Linked DNA regions of Astyanax mexicanus. The main gene of each other region encodes a partner of the protein of the gene in region 2 in a complex. Links are inferred from orthologs where the notes say so. Each region holds a gene or a part of one and is shown on either strand. Other genes may lie near its edges. The genes, in order: nup50 and ran.

The links.
Region 1: the proteins of ran (region 2) and nup50 are in contact, whole or in part, in a crystal structure (PDB 7MO0), measured with the Homo sapiens proteins. The link is inferred for Astyanax mexicanus from reciprocal best matches to the Homo sapiens genes RAN and NUP50. Residues at the interface, in NP_006316.1 of Homo sapiens: Arg29, His30, Thr32, Gly33, Glu34, Phe35, Glu36, Phe52, Val124, Asp125, Ile126, Lys127, Ser153, Asn154, Tyr155, Phe157, Glu158, Phe176, Ala178, Pro180, Ala181, Leu182, Ala183, Pro184, Glu186, Val187, Asp190, Pro191, Ala194, Tyr197; in NP_009103.2 of Homo sapiens: Pro344, Pro345, Lys346, Val347, Val352, Lys362, Cys363, Lys364, Phe366, Tyr367, Lys368, Asn371, Glu372, Phe373, Lys374, Glu375, Lys376, Gly377, Ile378, Lys384, Lys390, Gln392, Leu394, Arg396, Thr399, Asn400, Leu401, Asn403, Ile404, Leu405.

What each region holds. Positions count from the first base shown.
Region 1 is NC_064409.1:16,130,427-16,141,572, forward strand, and holds the start of nup50 (nuclear pore complex protein Nup50), read right to left. Parts: upstream 4,854-11,146; 5' UTR 4,704-4,853; intron 2,508-4,703; exon of another isoform or gene 2,505-2,507; 5' UTR 2,498-2,504; coding exon 2,429-2,497; intron 1,131-2,428; coding exon 1,047-1,130; intron 148-1,046; coding exon 1-147. UniProt on the Homo sapiens protein: Component of the nuclear pore complex that has a direct role in nuclear protein import. Actively displaces NLSs from importin-alpha, and facilitates disassembly of the importin-alpha:beta-cargo complex and importin recycling.
Region 2 is NC_064417.1:22,955,385-22,966,360, forward strand, and holds ran (GTP-binding nuclear protein Ran), read right to left. Parts: upstream 5,631-10,976; 5' UTR 5,507-5,630; intron 3,744-5,506; 5' UTR 3,704-3,743; coding exon 3,671-3,703; intron 3,240-3,670; coding exon 3,155-3,239; intron 2,768-3,154; coding exon 2,642-2,767; intron 2,466-2,641; coding exon 2,278-2,465; intron 2,084-2,277; coding exon 1,913-2,083; intron 1,812-1,912; coding exon 1,767-1,811; 3' UTR 1,386-1,766; downstream 1-1,385. Other genes in the region: ndufs8b (NADH:ubiquinone oxidoreductase core subunit S8b), read right to left, coding at 6,661-6,792, 6,946-7,074, 7,571-7,743, 10,217-10,306, 10,677-10,742, 10,900-10,939. UniProt on the Homo sapiens protein: GTPase involved in nucleocytoplasmic transport, participating both to the import and the export from the nucleus of proteins and RNAs. Switches between a cytoplasmic GDP- and a nuclear GTP-bound state by nucleotide exchange and GTP hydrolysis.

The DNA.
Region 1 (11,146 bases), on a different chromosome or scaffold from region 2:
GCTGCCGTTGGTCAGACCAGAGAGGGGTTTGAATCCAGTTCCATTACCAAAGCCTGTGAATCCTCCTCCTCCTCCTCCTCCAGCTGCCGGAGCCGACGCGGTCAGAGAGAAACCCTTAAAGCTTTTAAAAGCTCCTCCACTCTCACCCTGCAGCAACATGAAAAAACTCCTTAATAATTTACATAATTACATAATTCACACTGCTCTGCATTCTATAGTAGTACACACAAATTAAAAACACAGCTACAATAAAATATTAATAATATATTACTACTTTATATAAAGTACATAGAAGTACATAGAAATAAACACTATTGAGAGCGAAGAACAAACAAAAATGACATTAGAAAACTTAATGTCTCTGCTTTGAGAACTAGTTGGAGGCTTGTACTCGACACTGACTGCTTGGCTTCAATACCCACCCAATGCTGAAACTTGAGAAAGCTATCTTTAGCTGGTGTCTGAATAATAAACCAGGAAATAAATAGAAATAACAGTATGACCAGACGAGTTTAGCTCAGACAGTAACTCTCATTCGAGTAGAACTGTAATTTAGTAATAAATATATATATATATTTAATAATAATATATATAAATAAATATATATATATTTATTTAAAAATAATAATAATAATTATAAAAATATATTTTTTATATTTCATAAGTGTATAAAAAGAACCGTAGAACACCATACTTCATATAAAGAAAAAACAGACTATAACTTGAATACTGTCTACATAAAACCTTCCTACGCTCTGTGCCACAGGCATAACATGTGGCTATAACTTTATTTCAGCCACATGGCGCTTTGCCTATTTACTATTGGCCATTATGGTTATCTGTTGGAAACATCTATTCTTATCCCTGTCTTATATTTATAATAAGGAAAAGTTATTTCACGACAGGTACCTTACCTATTGTTTTATTGTCCAACCCTAATTCAATGCACACCCATTTTTTTTAACACTTGGCTCCGTAACCCCCTGTAAAAGTCACATTGTACCACATGCCTGATGTCTACTGACAAAGAGAAGCACTTCACTTACCTCAGCTCCAAAATTTCTACGCTTGGCTTTCTTGATGGCTCGGTTTTTCATCACATCCTCACTCGCAGTTGAAAATGTCCCTGCCTGAAGAAAGGAACAACGTGTTACACAGGAGAGGATTTTTAGGAAATGGTCCAACATAAAATCAAAATGACAATTTTCTGTTCCCATAATTGCAGTCACTCTGCAAATACAACTTTGTCTTTAGGTCTGCCTGCGTTTATAAATGTTATCGTAGGTAGTAAGTTATCAACACCAATATAGCATCAACTATGCATACCACCACCACCAATGCTTTATTTAAAAATGAAACAGAAAAAAAAAAAAAAAAAAGGGACGCACTTCATATAAAATTGTAAATAGATTCATAAGTAGCCCCAAATGGTGCACTACACAGAGAACAGGACAAAGGTTTATAAATATTTGTCCAAAATAGTGCACTACAGAGTAAATAAGACAAAGTTCTATAAATGTGTTTCCACAAGGCTACAACTACTGATCAAACCCACCTGAGCCAACAAATTACTGCCTTCAGAAATGCCTGATCAGTTATTGGGGACGTGTTAGATTTGGGATGAAGGTGTAATCTGCAGGACGCCAGCTCTCAGGGAGCAGGGATGTTGACCCCTGATATAGTGACTTTAGAGTGCACTATATATTGACTTGGCTGTAGTGACAGGTGTAATCCAAAACAGTGCACTGCAAAGTTAACAAGGTGTAGTTTCAGATAAAGCCAAAAATGTGCACTATATACTAAATATGGCATAGTTACAGATCTAGTGCAAAAAAGTGTATTATACAGGAAATAGGAAACAGTGAACTATAGAGTGACAAGGGCATAGTTACAGACATCATTCAAAATAGAGTATTAAGGGAACTTCTTAAGTGCAGTTTCAGAAAAGGCCCAAATGGTACACTATGCAGCACAGATATTGTCCAATAAAGTGCACTTATACTGTATAGTGCTGTGGTTCTCATTAATGATCCTGGACTACCACAGCCCTCCCAGTTTTAGATTCTAACACACCTGATCCAACCAATTAATTGACATAGGAGGCCTTGTTGAAACAAATTGGGTCTTACAGTAAGAAAACCCTAGATCAAGCAGGGCTTTGTTACCCCTGAATCAGGATTGGGAACCACTGATAAACAAACTATGGTAGTTTCATTTGAAGCTCTTTCTAATGATTCAATAACTTGAAAACCTACCAGACAAAATGTTTACCCTAAAATTTCAGTCTCAGATTATTTTTTTAAAAACTGAACTGCCATTATAGAGACAAAAAACAAAAATCTAGACGTTTTGCTTGGTGAAAAAATAAACAATTTCAATGTGGCTTGCGTCTACATGAAAAAACACAGCTTAACTACAGGAATCATACCTCTTCCCCTTCATCTTCCTGATCCCAGTTCCTGTCTGTCAACTCCTTCTCCGCAATCCGCTTTGCCATCACAGACCTGCTGACAGGTAAAACAAATGTGAAAACTATTAACCAAACGAATTTCAACAAATAAAGTGGTGAGCTCCAAAACCTACCGAAGTTATGTGGTTTATTGATTATATATATATTTCAGTCAACTAATCTGTATTTGTCTTTCATTGAAGGAGAGAGCAGGCATACATAAGCCTAAAACAGTCAAAGTATTGATTCTGCCTTTTTAAGTTGGTACAGCCAGTTCTATATTAAGAAAAAGGGTTTTATTCATAGATTTATCAAACTTACAATCTGCTGAACACACAGATTGTTAATAATTACTTGAAATGAACAATAAAACTGGCACGCGGTGAGGTAACGTAAGACAATGAACATATGTACAAGATAACATCACACCTCTGAGATAATTTTGGCTGCATTTTTATTTCTAATGATGAAAATCTCTAGAACTATATTTTATTTCATATCACTACATATTTTCGGGAGAGAAAATTGTGAGGCACATGTCATTTGTTGCCAAAACTACACTAAAACAAATACTGCACCACTGTCATGACAACTAAAACAATTTTGTACTGACAACTAGAGTCTCCAATGTGTTGCATTTTCTACAGTTAGCTCATGTATCTATTACAATTAAGCCATGCATTAGAAAGACTGGTCCAGGGTTCAGGCACTTTTTTTATACCTTTTCAAACTTTTTCTTTTCAGTTTTGTTCAGTGCTGTCAGTAGCTACTCTGTAGTCACGTTTTATAACTGCCATGTTCCCGCAAACCAAACAAAACTTTGTGTTTTTTAATTCTACTTCATACAGAGTGAATGAGGAAATTCACTTAAATTAATAAACCATATGCTGACTTTAAAAAGTCATTCCCTTTACAAATCTATACCATGATTGATACAACAACCCCCCAATATTTCAGGAACACAGATTTAAGAAAATATTTCATCAACATACTTTATTGGGAAATGAGAACAGTGTACATTTAACTTTTTCTAAAAGCAGCAAAGTTGTACCCTGATATGCGACCAATATGGCCCCAAATTATATCAAAATTTCTTTGCAAGATCTATAACCTATACAAAAACGTTGGCTGTATGGTACTAACCCCTAACGGCCACTTGAATAGCTAAATGGTTCTCCTTATTTAAGTAGGTTAAAAAAACTCCCTCAACTTTATAAATGTGCCATTCATTTAATAGCTATTAGCCTGTAAGAGAGCATAAATTATATAGTTTAACTGCTTAGCCTACTTAGCTTAACGGTGAGCTTAAATCACTAATTTTTGTTTAATAAAACCTACTGTTACTTTACGAAACTTAATCAACCTAGTTAGCTTGTTTATTTGAATAAATGACTCACTCTATTTAGCTAATTTAATGGTTAACTTAAGCTCCCCGTCTAAGTTAGCTAGTTAGCTACATAGTTAGCTAGCGTACCATTAATTTAATAGGTAAGGTTAAATCATTGCCTGTAATAAAGCAGCAATTCTATAAATCGCTTAGCCTACTTAGCTTAATATCACAATTTTCTTTCAAAAAACCTACTATTAATTAAAAAAACTTAATTAGCTAGTTAGCTAACATTTTAAAATAAATTACTTTCTATTTAGTTAAGCTAACTACCTGACTAAGTTACCTAGTGAGCTATCAAGCTTAGCTTGCTAAACTGTCCCCCCTAACCTGAGGAAACGGTTTATTTCACTGAGAAAACGTTTTTCAAATAAAATTTAACACATAAACTAGCTAACCTAACGCTAGCTGAGCTAATTCCCTCATAAACTCCAGCGGTTGTTAGTTGTGTAATTGAGCTCTGACAGACACCGCGCTGTGTTAGGTTAGCTATAGTGTGTCTGGAGTTACAGAGAGAGAGTTGGAGTTAATCAGTCAATCAGAAAGTAAAACCACACAGTAAATCAGCACATTATCACCCCCTCAGCTCTAAACTGCTCCCGAGCGGCTCAGCCGGAGAACAGACGGCGGTTAAACAGCCTGTCCTCCGCAGTAACACTGTAACAGACCCGCCACATTCACAGCACATTCTCAGATTTGGCGGATTGGCGGCGGAGTGACGGGCGACCCGCGGGCCGGCAGCCATGTACAGGCAGGCCGGTCACATAAACTAGCTGTTAGCCGTTAGCCGGAACACACCAGCTCACCCACCGCTAACACTCCGCACACATTCTACCGATTATACACACCGCACCGGCGTATACTGACCTTTCTGAAGAGCACCACACGGTACCGAACTGCTACACTGTGATAAAACGGCTCCTAATACAACAACACCGGCAGCTTCACACTCTCACCACGCCACCATCTTACAAAACGGGATATTCGCGCGTCAAAACGGAGCACTGCGCATGTGCAGTGAAGGGGAAGCGAATGTGGTTGAGGGAAATGTAGTCTTTGTGAACAGTTCCCCCAGAACTACAATTTGTGCAATCTGAAAACATGCCATGAGCTCCACAGTAACAGGTAAACACAATACTAACAAAAGTATTAACTCCTCACAATCATAGAACTCCAAATCATTGAGGTAAGTAATCTTAACAGAATATTTTCCCTTACCTAAGGAAATTACTCAGGTGTGTTCCATAACAAAACCCCCCAACAATTCACTTATCTAGGGGTAAGCTGTAAGAGATTTACTGCAGTGACTCAGGTTTTACTGCAGTAAAGTCCCACTGTAACAATAAGAAAAGCTCATAAACGTAAATAACCGTTCACTGAACATTGTTGCTAGAGAGCCAGTGTTGCTAATTTAGCAATTTTGTTGCTGGATTTAGTGACTTTTGAGAATCATAAAAAAGTAGTAAAAATCTCACTCAGATATGAACATGCATGTATAAACAGTATGCACTTATAACAGTATACAATTAACATTTAGTGTATTTACATTTCTGGGGGTTCTGTTCAGTTTTGTGTAAGTGTGTTTGGTGTGTGGTGGGTGAGGTGGGGGCTGGGGTTAGCTCTGTCTCTGTGTGTTGAGGTGTCTGAGATGTGTGAGATATCTGGGATGCCCCCTGTGCAACCAGCCCAGTTGAGAAATTCTATCAATACTAAATATTCCACAGCCAACTGTCAGTGCTATTATAACCAAGTGGAAGCGATGGGATCTAAAGCAACTCGCTCTGTCAACTTGAAATAACAGTGTGTGGTCAGCTGATGCTGAGGCTCATAGTGTGCAAAGGTGACTAACTTTCTGCAGAGTCAGTCGCCACAGACTTTTAAACTTCATGAGGCCTTTAGATTATCTCAAGGATAGTAGAGCATAGAGAACTTCATATAATTTCCAAGGCCAAGCAGCTCCATTCAAACCATCCAATGAATAGAAAATATCCACAATTGTTATGCTAATTAAATAAAAATTAAATAGAATTAAAAAGAAACATGACAAATGTCACCATACTTTTTTGTACAGGCATGTCCAATACTATGACTTGATAAAGGTAAAAGATTTTTACCAATATTTTTAGTCATTCTTGTTTTGTGCGAAATTTGAACACCCCAAAAGATGCATGCTCTCAGATAACTTTTATCAAGGTCTTAGGCTGCCATCAAGCCCTCCTCAAGTAATAAACAGCAGTTCTGGCTCCAAGACTGGGCCAGGGGTGCACCATGGCCTAGAAAGCACCATGCCCTGCAGCCCCTCCTACACACACACACACACACACACATGCGCATTTACTCAGTTTTGGAAGTGCATAGTAAATGGTTATCACAATATATATATATACAGTTACTGCAAACAAACCAAACTCACAAAGAGCTACACATGAGCTTTAGGTGAGTAATGTTTATATGTATGTATCATATGCATGGGAGTAAACCATTAAAAATGTACTTTTTTTTTTTTTGACATGCCTGTAACTCAAGTTTGACACTGATAAATATGAGTTTGTATTCTGTTTTAGCATTGCTAGAAAAGCTTATCTAAACCATGCATTTGTGGGTTTTTTTGGCCATGGCCAGGAATATCATGTTTAAACTCAATATATTGTATGTTTGTTTCATTAGTTTGAATAAGTTGTCTTTTTTGTTTCATTTTAATGTAAGATATCCCAGCCAACTTGTTCATGTGGGGCTCACGTGGTTGCAATATGGGCTAGGCCTCATGTGCTGTGTACAACCTAGATACAGTGTATAGACCATATTTAACCCTTCCTGGTCTCATCACTGAGCCTGTTGGCCCAACACTTACATCTATCCATTTGTGGGGCCAAATTTAAACCTGTGGACAAAATTACTGGTTCCCAGTTGGGCTACACATTTAGGATGTTTCTGGGACTGTTTTAAAAAGAACCATATTTAGTTTAAATTTAATTCGGTGCAATACAGACCCGAATGGACTCTGAACTCTGGGAGAGAGCAGCTGATGTAATTTATTTCTGTCAGGCTGTTGGTGGGGTTGCGCTCCATTGCAGGGTGGGATTGATTCAGATAGACTTTGGGGGGATTTCATGGAAAACGCTGCAGTGTTGCGGAGCAGATGGCGCTGATCCAAGCCCTCAGGATCCCATAGTCGTGGTGCCAACCCGGGAACAGGTGCTGAGGAAAGTAGGATGTACGCTCAGGGCCTGAACGTCCACAGGAGAGCCCTGACCAGCTGGCCAGGAGAGAGCGCAGCAAACAGCGAGGTGGGGGATCAGCCTCAGTGTGTGGGACAAAAAATAGAGAGTGAGAGAGTGTGTGTGTGTGTGTGTGTGTGTGTGTGTGTGCATAGTCCTCCTTCTCTGTTCCTTATGAATGGGTGGATAATGAGATTAACCCTTTAAGCTCTGAGCCTGTATGGGGGTAGGCCCAAACTTCAGACCCTCACTTTTACAACTAAATAACTTATATATCACTGAATAATAAATTACCAAATGGTATGCTGACCAATTAGAACAGAGACATAGTTTAGATATGTTTTAAATGAACAGTAATAAAAAACAGGCACTTTCATTTTATTTTATTTTAATTTTCTTATAAAGAATATATGATAATTATTTTAAGAAAAAAAAGTCCCCAAAAAGCTCCAAAATCCATATCACAGGAAGATTAAAAAAATCTTTGTGGTGGAGGATCAAGTAAGGAAGAAGGATCAAGGAAAAAGCCAACTTCCTTAAAGTTAATAATATATTTATGGTGGAAAAGTAAATTTAGAATGTGCTAGGGAAACATATTACCCCCAAAAAATCTTAAAGCCATTTAACAGGGAGTTAAAATCTATTTATGTGTGAGGAGTTCCCAAAAATCTCTACAATCTCTGATACAGAAAATTTAAAATATTCATGCTGGAGGAGTATATGCAGGATGTTCTAGGTAAAAAAAAAGGTCCTAAAAATAGAAGTGCATAGTGATATTGTCAATATTGCTGGAACAGGACTAAGTGAAGCTGGCTAATTTGCTACAACTATATATAAAGTTGTTTTGAAGCCTTTCCCTACCATCACCACTGTAAAGTGATCCGAGATGGTACGTTTACACCCAGCAAGCCAGTTTTGGTTAGTAGAATGTTTTCTGAGTGTTACAATTAATGTTCTTACAACGTTCGAGTTTTTTTACTTGTCATTTCATTTTTAGCTTTGGGAATAATTTATTTAACTTTTCCATAATTTTAGTATTTGTCTATATGGGAACATTATGTGAGAAACATAAAGAAAAAATATTTCTGTGCTCTTACAGGATAACCTTCCAGGAACCTTTTTAAATTGTTATTAAAAGACGTTGCTAAAACATTCTCTGTTAGCTGGATCTGTTTCACACCAAATTACAATGAAGTACTCTGTTTATACTGTATCTCAGAGACTGAGATGTAAATGTATAATTATTAATACAATTAATAAGAGTTCCATCATTATGATCGTTACAATAAACAGTAGACTAATGAGGCTACAGGGGTCAAGAGGTTAATGCTAAAACCAAGTGATCTGTGAACTGTATTTGAGGAACCATTTTAATATTCCAGAATTTTCTCTCTGGATGCCGTGATTAGCTTCTGTGGGCTCTGAGAAATGCTGAAAAGCGGTTTAAGGACGATATAATTATGCATAAACTTCATCGTTTTTGCTTCAGCAGGTGATAAAACGCATTCAGGCCATGACGTTTTTTCCCATTCAGGCTAAATTGCTGCAGATTTGCACTCACTTCCAATGGAGTGCATCAAAACAGCAGCAGAAAGTGAGGAAATGGGTGACGGCTGGCTGGGGTGGGAGGGGCGATGGCCTGCACATGACAAAGACGGGATGTAAAAGGGCCTCCTAATAGTTATGAAGATTACTGGGCTGATAAAATTAGGGGGCCTCGGACTCGTCATAAAGGGACGGGGCCTCTGACAGGCTGTCATGTCCCAGTGCGCGCCCAGCCACCACGTGATGTTCTCTACAGGGGGAAGGAGAAATGGATTGATTTCAGATTTTTCAACAGAACTAAACTCTAAGCTGCTCTCAGCAGCTCATCCACAGCCAATTCTGTCCCAGAGGGCCTTGCGGTGCCATCGATCACTGTTTATGAGGAGATGTTTTACATCAGTGATTATTGTAAATGATTAAAGCAGCTCTGTTCTGACACGGCTGGCTGTTTATTGAAAGACCACATTCGGGTGATTTGATGGAAACTTTCCCTTTTGAAACGGCAAAACTACATTTAAACTTAGACTACGTTATAACACACACTGCAAAATCAGCAAACTCAAAATGACTCTATCACAGTTCATTTTAACACACTTTAAAAGAGATTTAATACTTCCTTGCATTTTCTTCCTGGCAGGCCAGAGCTCTTTTTATTTTATTATAATATATCAGGGTAGTTTTGATGCTTTGTTACACCTTTAACAATTTGGAAAGAGGAAACCTGCCAGCAGCTGTGTGTATGTGCGTATATGCATGTGCGTGTGTGTGTGAGAGTGAGAGAAATTTAGTCCTTATGTCAGCATAAATAAAAAGTAATTATGATTAGGCATGTCAATAAGAATTTTCCCAGAAAGTTTTGCAATAAACGATATTATTGTCATTTTAAGACCATCAAATGACACTGATACAGTAGTAATATTATAGTATAACAATGCAATTATTCCCTTTTTAAAGCCAAACAAATACAATAGACGATATTGTAATTATCATATATTATTGAATCAAGTCCAGTTATTGTACAATTGATAGTTGATAATATTATTATCGTAGCAGGCCTAGAAGTAACGTCATGTTTACAATGCTAAATAAAAATGCAAATGCATCCCCAGGCTCTGTTAAAGGAGTGAATTACGGAGTGAAAGTTGGGGCCAAACTTTGTGTAATTAAAAAAACTGTACAGCACTTATTTTGCATATAATATACTGTAAATCATGTACAGCTCTGGAAAAAATAAGAGACCACTTAAAATGATAAGTTTCTTTGATTTTACCAAATTAAAAACCTCTGGAATATAATCAAGAGGAAGACGGATGATCACAGCCATGAAACCAAGCTGAACTGCTTGAATTTTTGCACCAGGAGTAAAGGCATAAAGTTGTCCAAAAGCAGTGGATAGTGTAAGACTGGTGGAGGAGAAAATGCCAATATGCATGAAAACTCAGGATTCAGGGTTTTTTCACCAAATATTGATTTCTAAACTCTTAAAACTTTATAAACTTGTTTTCTTTGCATTGCTTGAGATCTGAGAGGTCTGCATCTTTTTTGTTATTCCAGCCATTTCTTTTTTTTTGCAAATAAATGCTTTAAATGACAATATTTTAATTTGGAATTCGGGAGAAATGTTGTCTGTAGTTTATAGAATAAAACAACAATGTTCATTGTACTCAAACATAAACATATAAATAGCAAAATATACAAAAAGATTCAGAAATTAAGGTGGTCTCTTATTATTTTCCAGAGTTGTATTTCATAATCACGTATAAATTATTGCATTTAAAACTGTGGAAAAATATGGCACTCCCCTTTCACACATCACTGTGGGAACAAGCACTTCTGTACTGTATAATTAATTGAAAAAAAAAAACAAATATCACTACATTTATGGCTCAAGAAGGTTTTACTGGTATAACATTTTTTTGTTCTTTGACTGTAATATATCTGTGAAGGCTGTAAAGTTCCTATAGTGTGACTCATTTTTAAATCAACACAGACCAACTTTATCACTTCCTCTTTTAAAGAAACAAACAAAACATCAAATCCCCGCGACCTCCCCGCATGCCCACTCTGGCTCCAGGGGTGTTTTCATCATCACCCCTTGCTGCCCTTTGAAATTAGAGCGATGTCTTCATCCTTGTTGCTTCCTTAATTAAATCAGGGAGCACTGATTATAATTTTTTTCTGCATGCATTTCTAATCGCAGATGTGCTCACAAGACATATTTAAATGTCAATCAGCCACCACAGATCACTGAAAGCCTAATTACGCACAATTAGTTAACTGTCATATGCAGTAATTACTGGAGTGAATGGACAAATTAAGAGGAAATTTAATTGGTTGCTCTTAATGGAGGAAAATGTACTTTAACCGTGTGCACGGCCTACCGTTCAAATTGCTTCAGTTTGCTCATTATAAGACCAATCCACTTTAATGTAGCAGAAAAAATGCATTAAACATAAAGTGAACTCATCAAACAATTAATAAAAGTTCCTAGATATAGGATCAGTCTAAAGTTTGGACACACCTTCTCATTCAATGTTTTTCTTTATT
Region 2 (10,976 bases):
GTACCAGCTGTATACAAAGGACAATAAGTGGCAAACAAGCTTCTGAAAAGTAAGTTATGTTTATTACCTGTGATTACCACGGTTGTGTGCATATTATTAAAAGTTCTGCTTCACAAAACGCCTTGTTTGCCACTTATTGCCCTTTGTACACATAGTGAAGTCCGAGACGTTACTGAAGACGCAGCTTAGCTGGTACAGCATCTTTTAAGGTCCCCCAGGAAAATTCCGTTGTGTTGTGACTCACTTCCGTTGTGTTGTGGTTCTATTTGCAGCGCGTTTTTCTTTTTGCAGCGCGTTTTTCTGTTTGCTGCGCCTGTGTTGTAATTTTGATGGATGTGTTTTGTGCTTTTGCAGCGCTTTTCAATTTGCACTGCGTTGGGCTTTCTCGGCCACCGTACCAAAGGCCTGTAAAGGTCTGTAAGCCTGACGCAGCCTGGGGTCTGTGGTCGCTTTGCGCCCTCTGGTGGCCATAAAGCTATTATCTTGAGCAAGGTCCACAAACTTAGTCATAATACAGTCATATCTGACTCAAGCATCGAGCACATTTTCAAACCCTTCAAAAAGAAGCACTGGGAACATAGTAAGCAACGGTTCTACATTTTGGACAGGTATTACGTCTAACTGGGAAACCAGGCCTATAAGTATAGTGGAGGAATATGCTTCACTGAGTATATTCCCCCGTTTATTTAATTTAAAATGCAAATTACTTACAAATTCAACATTAAGCTTAAATTATTAGCAAAATAACCACCAATCATGCTTTTAAAGAAATATATATATAAAAAGACTTTTCAATAAAGTTTACAGATAGCATGAATCTGGTTGCATTTTATACATTGTATAAAACACCTTAAACTAATGAAAGACTGTTCTTGGCCTGAATCTCACAATGTTAAATGGAGCTCCTCATAACTCTATAAAGGACAGAAAAAGTGTTCTGCCATCATGGCAGGTAAAGCCAGCAAAGAATCAAGAGATGCAAGTTAGAGTTCAGCCATTTAGAGAAGTATTAATACTTAAGAGGTACGTGTTCCTAAAGCGAATCAGCTAAAACTAGTTAAATTTTTTTTTATGGGGTTAAAGATAGACAAGACAGGACATTAATAAATTCTAGTCTTTTAAATTGAACTTACTGTAATTAAAAACTTCAAAGAACTAAAATTATGTACACAATAAGGCCTAGAAAGCTACTTCCAAAGTAACCCAATTTATAAAATCAGAACAGCCCAACAGGAATTGCCTTGACCTCTCTTCTGCTGGACAACTAGGCTGGCCAAACACGTCCCACTTTAAATATAGTTTAAGCCCATGACAGATTTAGTTTATGCAAAGTAAACGACCCAAAATAAGTTAATTTGAAACAAAAAATAAAAAGCCAAGCAACATTATTTTGAGAATGTTTTTATTCAAAGTTGTTCTCTAAGTGCTTAGAGCCATACAGATAGAATAAGCACTGGGACACTCAGTAAACTGCTCTCACGCCTTTGAGTGATTGAGTGTTTGCATGTCTGTTTCAGAGTGTAGGCATGTGTTTAAATGTGTCCTAGAGTGAGTCCGAAAGGTGGCGTTAGGGTTAGCAAGTCTACGTTGAAATCCGAGAACCACACAACTTCACTTTTTATTCAATTTGAAAACACAAAAACAAAACAAAACTTGAAAAATAAAAATAATCTGCGCTGGGGTTTTACAGTAAAAGGGGAGCGGGGAAGGGCAAACTCCTTTTGAGGGCCAAGACCACAAGGAAAGATCAGAGGGGGGGTAACAGGTTAAAGGTCATCATCCTCATCTGGGAGAGCTGTTTCTGATGCCACCTGGGAGAAGGACAGAAGAAAGAAGTTATATATTAATATTGTGGTAAAAACAAGCCATACAAACTTTGGTTAAGTTTTATCACTTGTGTATGTGTACTTACTTTCAGGTCATGCTCGTACTGTGCAGCAAGTGATGGGTCCATAGCGATTTCAGGTGGGGCAAGGGCAGGCATCTCCACAAATTCAAGGTTAGGATCACCAATCAGCTTTCGTGCAAGCCAAAGGAAAGGCTTCTCGAAGTTATAATTACTCTTTGCAGAGATGTCATAGTACTAAAACGGAAACAAAGATTTAACAATACATTAACAGCCAATCAAACTTCACATCCTTCCAACCCAAACTAAAGATCTAAAAATTACACATTAACACTGCATAACAGCAACATTAGTCATTCAGATGTAACAAAATTGCTGGCAGGACACACCCATTGTTCCAGGGAACAGAAGTATAGGGTATTATGCTGTACCTGTAGATTCTTCTTGCGATGGAACACAATGCTCTTGGCCTTCACTTTCCTGTCCTTGATGTCCACCTTGTTGCCACACAGAACTATGGGAATGTTCTCACACACGCGGACCAGGTCACGATGCCAATTGGGCACGTTCTTATAAGTGACTCGAGAGGTGACATCAAACATAATGATTGCACACTGAGCTGGAGACACAAGCAAGAGAAAATGAAACTAAAGTTGCAGTAATGTGTAAAGATTTGGTTCTGTTACTGGGTCATTGAACAAAAAGATGTGAGGCTTCAGTAAAACAGAAGCTATGGTGCTTGACCTTAAAAACTGAGTGTAAAAGATTAACAACAATGGCAAGCAAGAGATATACCTTGAATGTAGTAGCCATCTCTGAGACCACCAAACTTCTCCTGTCCAGCTGTGTCCCATACATTGTATTTGATTGCCCCTCTGTTAGTGTGGAAGACCAAAGGGTGTACTTCAACCCCCAAAGTGGCTGAATGGAAAAAGCAGATAAAAAAAAAAAAAAAAGGTGTCATTACAAACAGATGTAAATAAGTGCACAGACCCGCAGGGTAATGAAAACAATACTTAATTATATACACAGAAGTATTTACACAAAAGATTTTTTTAATTAAAAGACATGCTTAAAACTTGATTTACTGTTTTAACTGACTGCACAATGTTTACCTACCCTGCAAAGCCTGACATACTTAAAGCTCCCCAGCACAAACCTCCCTCTATGTGTAATGGGGCGATTGAGTCACACTCAGGCCACAGTGCTCAAATGAGCACTTCTGAGTTTGAGCACATTCGCTGGAATATAGTAAAGTTCTAAAACAGGCCTGTATACAATTTTTTACAAGTCCAAAGCCAAACTTACCAACATATTTCTTTTCAAACTCTCCTGTCAAATGCCTCTTTACGAAGGTGGTCTTTCCCGTACCTCCATCTCCTACAAGAACCAGCTGTGGGTTGGAAAAACAGTTAACAACTACAAAAATATTAAAATGTGTCTTAAAAGACACACTGCTATACTGTACTGCAATAATTGCTCTGAGTGCTCTGGCTAACAAGCAATATTAAGACAAGCTTTGCCATTTATGATGGTATGAATGTATACAGGAGGGTCTTTTTAGACAACCAGAGACAATTTATCTGTCAGTAACTTACTGTGATAAACGTTAGATATTTAATTCAGACATCATAAGCTCATTTCTTGCTTCAGAACAAATAATATGGCTATGGCTATTCGCCTCTCAACTTTTATAAGTTAATAAAAATGGGGGCATGGCCCTTTAAGCTGACTTCATAAGTTTGTTCAGTAGAGTTGAGGTTTTTTTTTTAAACAATGTTTCCTAAAAGGTCACCAGTGTAGTTTATTAGATGAAATACTCACCTTAAACTGAACCTGTGGGTCGTTTTCTGCCATTGTTGGATGTGTGTGTGTGGGTCTCTGACGCAGCGCGACTCTGCGGGAGAGATGGCGGGAGGGTTAATACAGGCAGACAAAAGGCCGGAGAACAATCCCCCTCCCCACACGCGGTGTCGGGCAAACCCAGTGAAGCTGCGGGACGGGCCTGAGCGGCCTGAGCAGCCCGGCATCAATCAACCAACCACCAGAACGTCTGATAAAGGCGCCAAGCAAGAGCGCAGTAAATGCTAATGAGCTAGCTTAGCTACACGTACAGCACGCTGGGGCCGCGTTCACTACGCCTCACATATTACATCTATGGCTAATATGAATGGTAGCTCTGCTATAAGCGAGTCTGAACCGGTTCCGACCACCGGGTTCGAGTTCAGTCCGGATGGGAGCTCTCAGAGCCGGTTCTGCTGGTTGGTTGAGCGTCATGTCGCACAGCTGCCGCGCTTTTCTAGTTCTCACCAGAAGCAAATCCATCCAGTTAGCTTAGCCAACGCTAGCCTGCTCTCTTTCCGCTGGCTAATGCTAACCGGCTAACTGTTCGCTACCAATACTGATGGGTAATCCAAGTCCAGAAAGTAAAAATCCACCCAAGGATATTTTGTTTCAAAACACCCGGGTACTTTCTATAAAACTATTTACAGGCAACTAAATATAAAAATGTTTTAGCTGCCACGAAATATATTTTGAGAGCTCAAATGTAACACTGTTAGCTAGCTACTGGGGCCTCAAATTAGCCACGTTACTAGCTAGTAGTCAATAAGTAAGTTTGTAGTGAACAGGAAATACTATATGCAATAGCTATATGACAAGCTATTGGTCAAATTGAGTTGTAGCCACAACAGTAAAATTTAAAAGGAGGTCATTAGGTAATATAGTGGCCACATTTAGTCTGCAGAAGACCACAAAAGCAAATTTATTTAATTCAACAAAAATATATAGGCCACACATTAAGTTAGCTGAATTGCAGGGACTTCTTTTAAACGGTGTATTAAAATCTTACAGGGAACAAAAATTTGTTTCAAAGGCCAAAACATAGCTTAGCTACGGTAGTTAGGTTAACATACTGAGCCCACAAATTAGGTGTTAAGTTTAAAGTTCTCCTAAAATGATTGATCACAAATAAGGTTTTGGTTAGTTTACATGAAGCCATATGATAATCGATTATGGCCAAAAAAAGGTTTGAGGCAATAAAATACTACATGGATGACATATTGAGTACATTAGTCACAAGTGAAAAATACACACGCAAATGTAAACAAGTGAAAATGATTTAAAAGCTATCTAGAACGCACAGAACAATATATCAAGGTAACTAGCGTGGCTTATATCTAGTTAACGCAAGCTGAGCCGATGAGCTGCAGTACAGCGATACAGGCGGTCGGATTAAAATCCTGGGATGGACTTCTACTCGCTGGATGAGGACTGTCCTCCTTTAGAGCTACCGGACAACAAAACAAAAAAGAGCGCCGGATCTCAGAAAGACCAGACCCCTCCAATCCAGTCCTCCACCTTACATATACCCTACAGCACAGGACTAACACCCAAAATTACGGATTTATAATAAAATCAGGGAACGCAATAACGTAATCGCATCCGCGCTAGCATTAAGCGCTAACCTGCCTAGCCACACGATGCTACCGCGTTAAACCGAGCCGAGCCCGCCGCTCTAAAGGCCTGATCTAACCCGCGGATCCGCTGAATCGGTGCCGCAGCGGGGCGCGGGAGGCTGAGCGATGTGTTGCGGTGTAAACGCGGGGTGTGTGTGAGCGCTAAGGGCTGATTCTGGTTCCCAGCGCGCGCAGTTCCTACCTGGACGCTCGTGCTCCGCTCTGCCGCGCAGTGAGAAAAGAGCAAATGGCACCGAGCGCGCGACTCTCAGCGCGGCCGCATTAACGCTTCCGCCCCAAGCACGTGACCAGGCAAACCCGCGCGCAGTAACGCGCCCCCGCCTGGCCGCTTTCTGCAACAGCAGCAACCCTAAACTTTCCCATGGAGCAGGTACAGAGTGCAGGGTGGGGTTTGTCTTGCCTTTAGACCAAAGAACATTGCATGAACGTTGTTTCTTAGGTTGTATTACATCTTTTAAGGTTGTTGCATGAGCGCCCATTAAATCTGAGGGAGGCGTTCCCCTTGCACATTGCATAATTATTCGTTTGGAACCACTCCACATTTAACATAAACTATTATATAGCTTTTTGAATGTATTTATATTCGGTTATTTAGATACAGTTTTGTAGAACATTCTAAAAAAAAGTATACAGTAATTTATGTACACCCCATTCTTATTATTATTTAAATATCCATTTTACACTGCACGAACAGAGTACAAGCTATAAGAATACAATACAAACAATATGTACATTATTTACTGCAAGTTAATCCTAGCAACACATATAAAACCATAAAATCACAAACTGCTGGATCAGCTGAGATGGCATCAAAATACTATACTTACAGACACTTCAGACTAACAGACTAAAACTACAGACTAAAACTAACATTAAGGACATGAGAAAGAACTGTTCGGGTACTACAATAACTTACAATAACGATATACATTACTAATTACCAATTCTTTCTCTAGTTTTATTAGTAATATGAATGCTACTGATAAAAATGTCCACATTATCTATGCCTTTCACTCAAAAAACACACACAGGCACACAAAATATTTTTTAAAGTTTTATTTCTGAAAGTAAATCTATTATAAAATACAATAATTACACTTCATTCATTGTGTACTTGTGTACATTTGTGCGTGATTATTAAGTTCCTGAGAATGCGATTAGTGATGTTTCAGTTCATTACCTTGGAAGTTTGAACCATACAATGAATTCTCCTACACTGGGTGCACTGAGTGCTTCTTAGTATACACTGCAATTATGGCTGTAATAAAGAGCAGACAACAGATGTATTTTCTTAATTCTGATGGTTTGCATGTATTGCTTCCTGTTCAGGGCTGTTTATCTGTACAGGTAGTCAGCCTGGATGTTGGCAGCGATCTCAGCCTCCCAGCGATCTCCATTATTCAGCAGCTTTTCCTTATTATAAAGCAGCTCCTCATGTGTCTCAGTGGAGAACTCAAAATTAGGACCCTGAGAGAAAGGGGGAAAGAGAGAAGCGAGGTGAAGAAAACAGTAAAAGTGAAAATGGAGCATCTCTGTGTGTGTGTGTGTGTGTGTGTGTGTGTGTGTGTGTGTGTGTGTGTGTGTGTGTGTGTGTGTGTGTGTGTGTGTGCATGCGCGCACCTCCACAATTGCATCTACAGGGCATGCCTCCTGGCAGAATCCACAGTAGATGCATTTTGTCATGTCAATATCATAGCGAGTGGTTCTTCTGCTGCCATCAGCACGGGTCTCTGCTTCTATTGTGATAGCCTGCAACACACACAAACACACACTTTACTGTTTAGGTCCCAACTCTTATCTGTGTTTTTATTTCTTACCAATTTATTTACATTACATTTTGCACACATAAACACTAACATGCCATAATTTTTGCCATATCCCAAGGTATCAAAAAACGCAGCACTTGTGCATTGAATATGATGTGATTTCTGCCAGAGTCACTTGTCTGTTTGCCAGATGCTGCCGGTCACAATCATTACCAGCTATTGCACAGTCCGCTGTGGGTGTTAATGCCCTCTATGATGTATTCTCAGTGCACACATGACTGTGCAATTAAGAAATGTTAAATGCCCACACAACTTCAGAAAGGGAATGTCCCATCCATTTGCACCCACTCTTAGGCCTCACTCCATCTCATATACTGTAGTTGTATGTGTATGTGTAATACTGCACTGTAATAATGCTGTGTGTATGTGTGTGTGTGTGTGTGTGTGTGTGTGTGTGTGTGTGTGTGTGTGTGGTATACCTGTGCTGGGCAGATGGCCTCACACAGTTTGCACGCGATACAGCGCTCCTCTCCGTTTGGGTACCTGCGCAGCGCGTGTTCTCCACGGAATCGAGGGGACAAGGGTCCTTTCTCAAAGGGGTAGTTAATGGTGGCTGGCTCTCGGAACAGGTAACTCATAGTCATGCCCAGTCCTACACACATATAAACACTTACAAATGCTTTTATAAAATCTCTACTTCATAATATATTCAGTCCTTCTTGGCCACTGAACTGGTGTCAGTGAAGGTGATCTAAAATGCCTGATGCACTAAATCCAACACAGGTCACACAAAAATTACTCACTACAGTAAGAAACATTGTTAAATGGTTAAGTAATGTTTCAGCAATATTAGCCTTCTAGCTGTTGTTTGGCATTGGGTATATTGACCTTAGGCTCATGTGTGGCTGGTGTCAAACATCCCATTTAAATTATGTTCTGGCACATACAGTTGTGGTCAAAAGTTTACATACACTTGTAAAAAAACATAATGTTATGGCTGTCTTGAGTTTTCAATAAGTTCTACAACTCTTATTTTTCTGTGATAGAGTGATCGGAACACATACATGTTTGTCACAAAAAACAGTCATAAAATTTGGTTCTTTCATAAATTTATTATGGGTCTGCTGAAAATGTCCCCAAATCTGCTGGGTCAAAAATATACATACAGCAACAAAATTTGTCAATTTTGGTGATGTAGCGAGTTGTGTCAATCAAATTAGCTTCATGTCATGGCCTCTTCACTTCTTGTAAGTGATTCTGATTGACTACAGCTGTTGACTTCTCATGAGCCCATTTAAATAGGGCTCATTTGACCCAGTGATTAGACTCAGCTACAAAAGCTACAATGGGAAAGTCAAAGGAACTCAGTGTGGATCTGAAAAAGCGAATTATTGACTTGAACAAGTCAGGGAAGTCACTTGGAGCCATTTCAAAGCAGCTACAGGTCCCAAGAGCAACTGTGCAGACAATTATACGCAAGTATAAAGTGCATGGAACAGTTGTGTCACTGCCACGATCAGGAAGAAAACGCAAGCTATCACATGCTGCCGAGAGGAGATTGGTCAGGATGGTCAAGAGTCAACCAAGAATCACCAAGAAGCAGGTCTGAAAGGATTTGGAAGCTGATGGAACACAGGTGTCAGTCTCCACAGTCAAGCGTGTTTTACATCGCCATGGACTGAGAGGCTGCCGTGCAAGAAAGAAGCCCTTGCTCCAGAAAAGGCACCTTAAGACTCGGCTGAAGTTTGCTGCTGATCACATGGACAAAGATAAAACCTTCTGGAGGAAAGTTCTCTGGTCAGACGAAACAAAAATTGAGCTGTTTGGCCACAACACCCAGCAATATGTTTGGAGGAGAAAAGGTGAGGCCTTTAATCCCAGGAACACCATGCCTACTGTCAAGCATGGTGGTGGTAGTATTATGCTCTGGGGATGTTTTGCTGCCAGTGGAACTGGTTCTTTGCAGAAAGTAAATGGGATAATGAAGAAGGAGGATTACCTCCAAATTCTGCAGGAAAACTTAAAACCATCAGCCAGAAGGTTGGGTCTTGGGCGCAGTTGGGTGTTCCAACAAGACAATGACCCAAAACACACATCAAAAGTGGTAAAGGAATGGCTAAACCAGGCTAGAATTAAGGTTTTAGAATGGCCTTCCCAAAGTCCTGACTTAAACCCCATTGAGAACATGTGGACAGTGCTAAAGAAACGGGTTCATGCAAGAAAACCATCACATTTAGCTGAACTGCACCAATTCTGTCAAGAAGAGTGGTCAAACATTCGACCTGAAGCTTGCCAGGAGCTTGTGGATGGCTACCAAAAGCGCCTAGTTGCCGTGAAAATGGCCAAGGGACATGTAACCAAATACTAATGTTGCTGTATGTATATTTTTGACCCAGCAGATTTGGTGACATTTTCAGCAGACCCATAATAAATTTATGAAAGAACCAAATTTTATGACTGTTTTTTGTGACAAACATGTATGTGTTCCGATCACTCTATCACAGAAAAATAAGAGTTGTAGAACTTATTGAAAACTCAAGACAGCCATAACATTATGTTTTTTTACAAGTGTATGTAAACTTTTGACCACAACTGTATGATCTCCACTCCAATGGTACTGGACAAAGCTCCATTACTCCTGAGAACACAGTTCCACTGCTCTACAGCCTAATATTGGAGGTCGTCATCTTCATCTTTGCTAGGCATAGGGAAGGGTGACCTTTGGATTATTTATTTATAGTTTTTATTAGGATTAATTTTTTTATAGTTTTTTTTTGCCTCTCTACAACAACAAACATCTGGTGTGTTTCTTAGTATATCATATAGACATCTTTATTTTAAATATGCAGGGCAGCAGTGAACATCATGTTTATTCTCAGGATGAATTTCTGGTTTTATGACTAAAGAATTGACTAAAGGGGCATTGTCCACACTTTCTTGCATTTCCCTCTGAGATCAATAAAGTATTTATCTATGTGTTTATTGATGTATCCAACCACCAACCCACCCATCCACCAATTTATTCATCCATACATCTAATAGGTGAACCATCACGGTGGTACACTAATCAAAGGTGAAAACAGGATTAATGATGTTTAACTGAAAAGCACAAGGAGTATACTGACCTCTGAACAGTTCAGTCCAGAGCAGAGTCTGGGCCGCTCGATCAGTAACAGACTTCATGTCAATGGGCAGCTCCTGAGCATTCACATATTCTTTTAGAGATAAAGAGACACAGCCAATTACAGTATATAAACACAAAACAGTACATGTTCACAGGGGTGGGTAACTTGCTGTTACATTACAACAAAAGCATAATTATCCAATTTTAACTGGATTTGCAGTACAGTGTATTGTTTATTTTAAAAAGTCTGTTCATAGTTTTAAACAGTATTTCTTGCATATGGCCCTGATGGTACTTTTTACGGCATTCGGCATTCTCTATATTACATTTAGTGAAGCATCAGTAATTCTTTAGCTGCTATTTTAAGGTAAACGTGGCACATAATATTGCTTTAAGTAGTTCATCTGTACATTAAAAGGAGCTAAATTTGATGTGTGTGTGTGTGTGTGTTTATGCCTTACTGTAGCCTTCTCTTTGTATGGTGACACTAAAGGCTCTAACCAGGACAGGGCTGGCAGCAAATGTGCCTGAATAAAACATTGAGAAGGACAGAGACTGTTATTGATGAGAACCATCCTCGTTCTGCAGACCAGCCAAATTCAGGACACACAAATTCAGTAGACATCGTAAAAAAAGTTCTATAAACTCATATAATAACTCTATTCTATAAACAGTGAGGCTCACCTGGCCTGGAGGAGTAAAGCAAGCGCAGTGCTGTAGACATCCCACCAGCATTAGTCTACTGACAAAAAAACAACAAA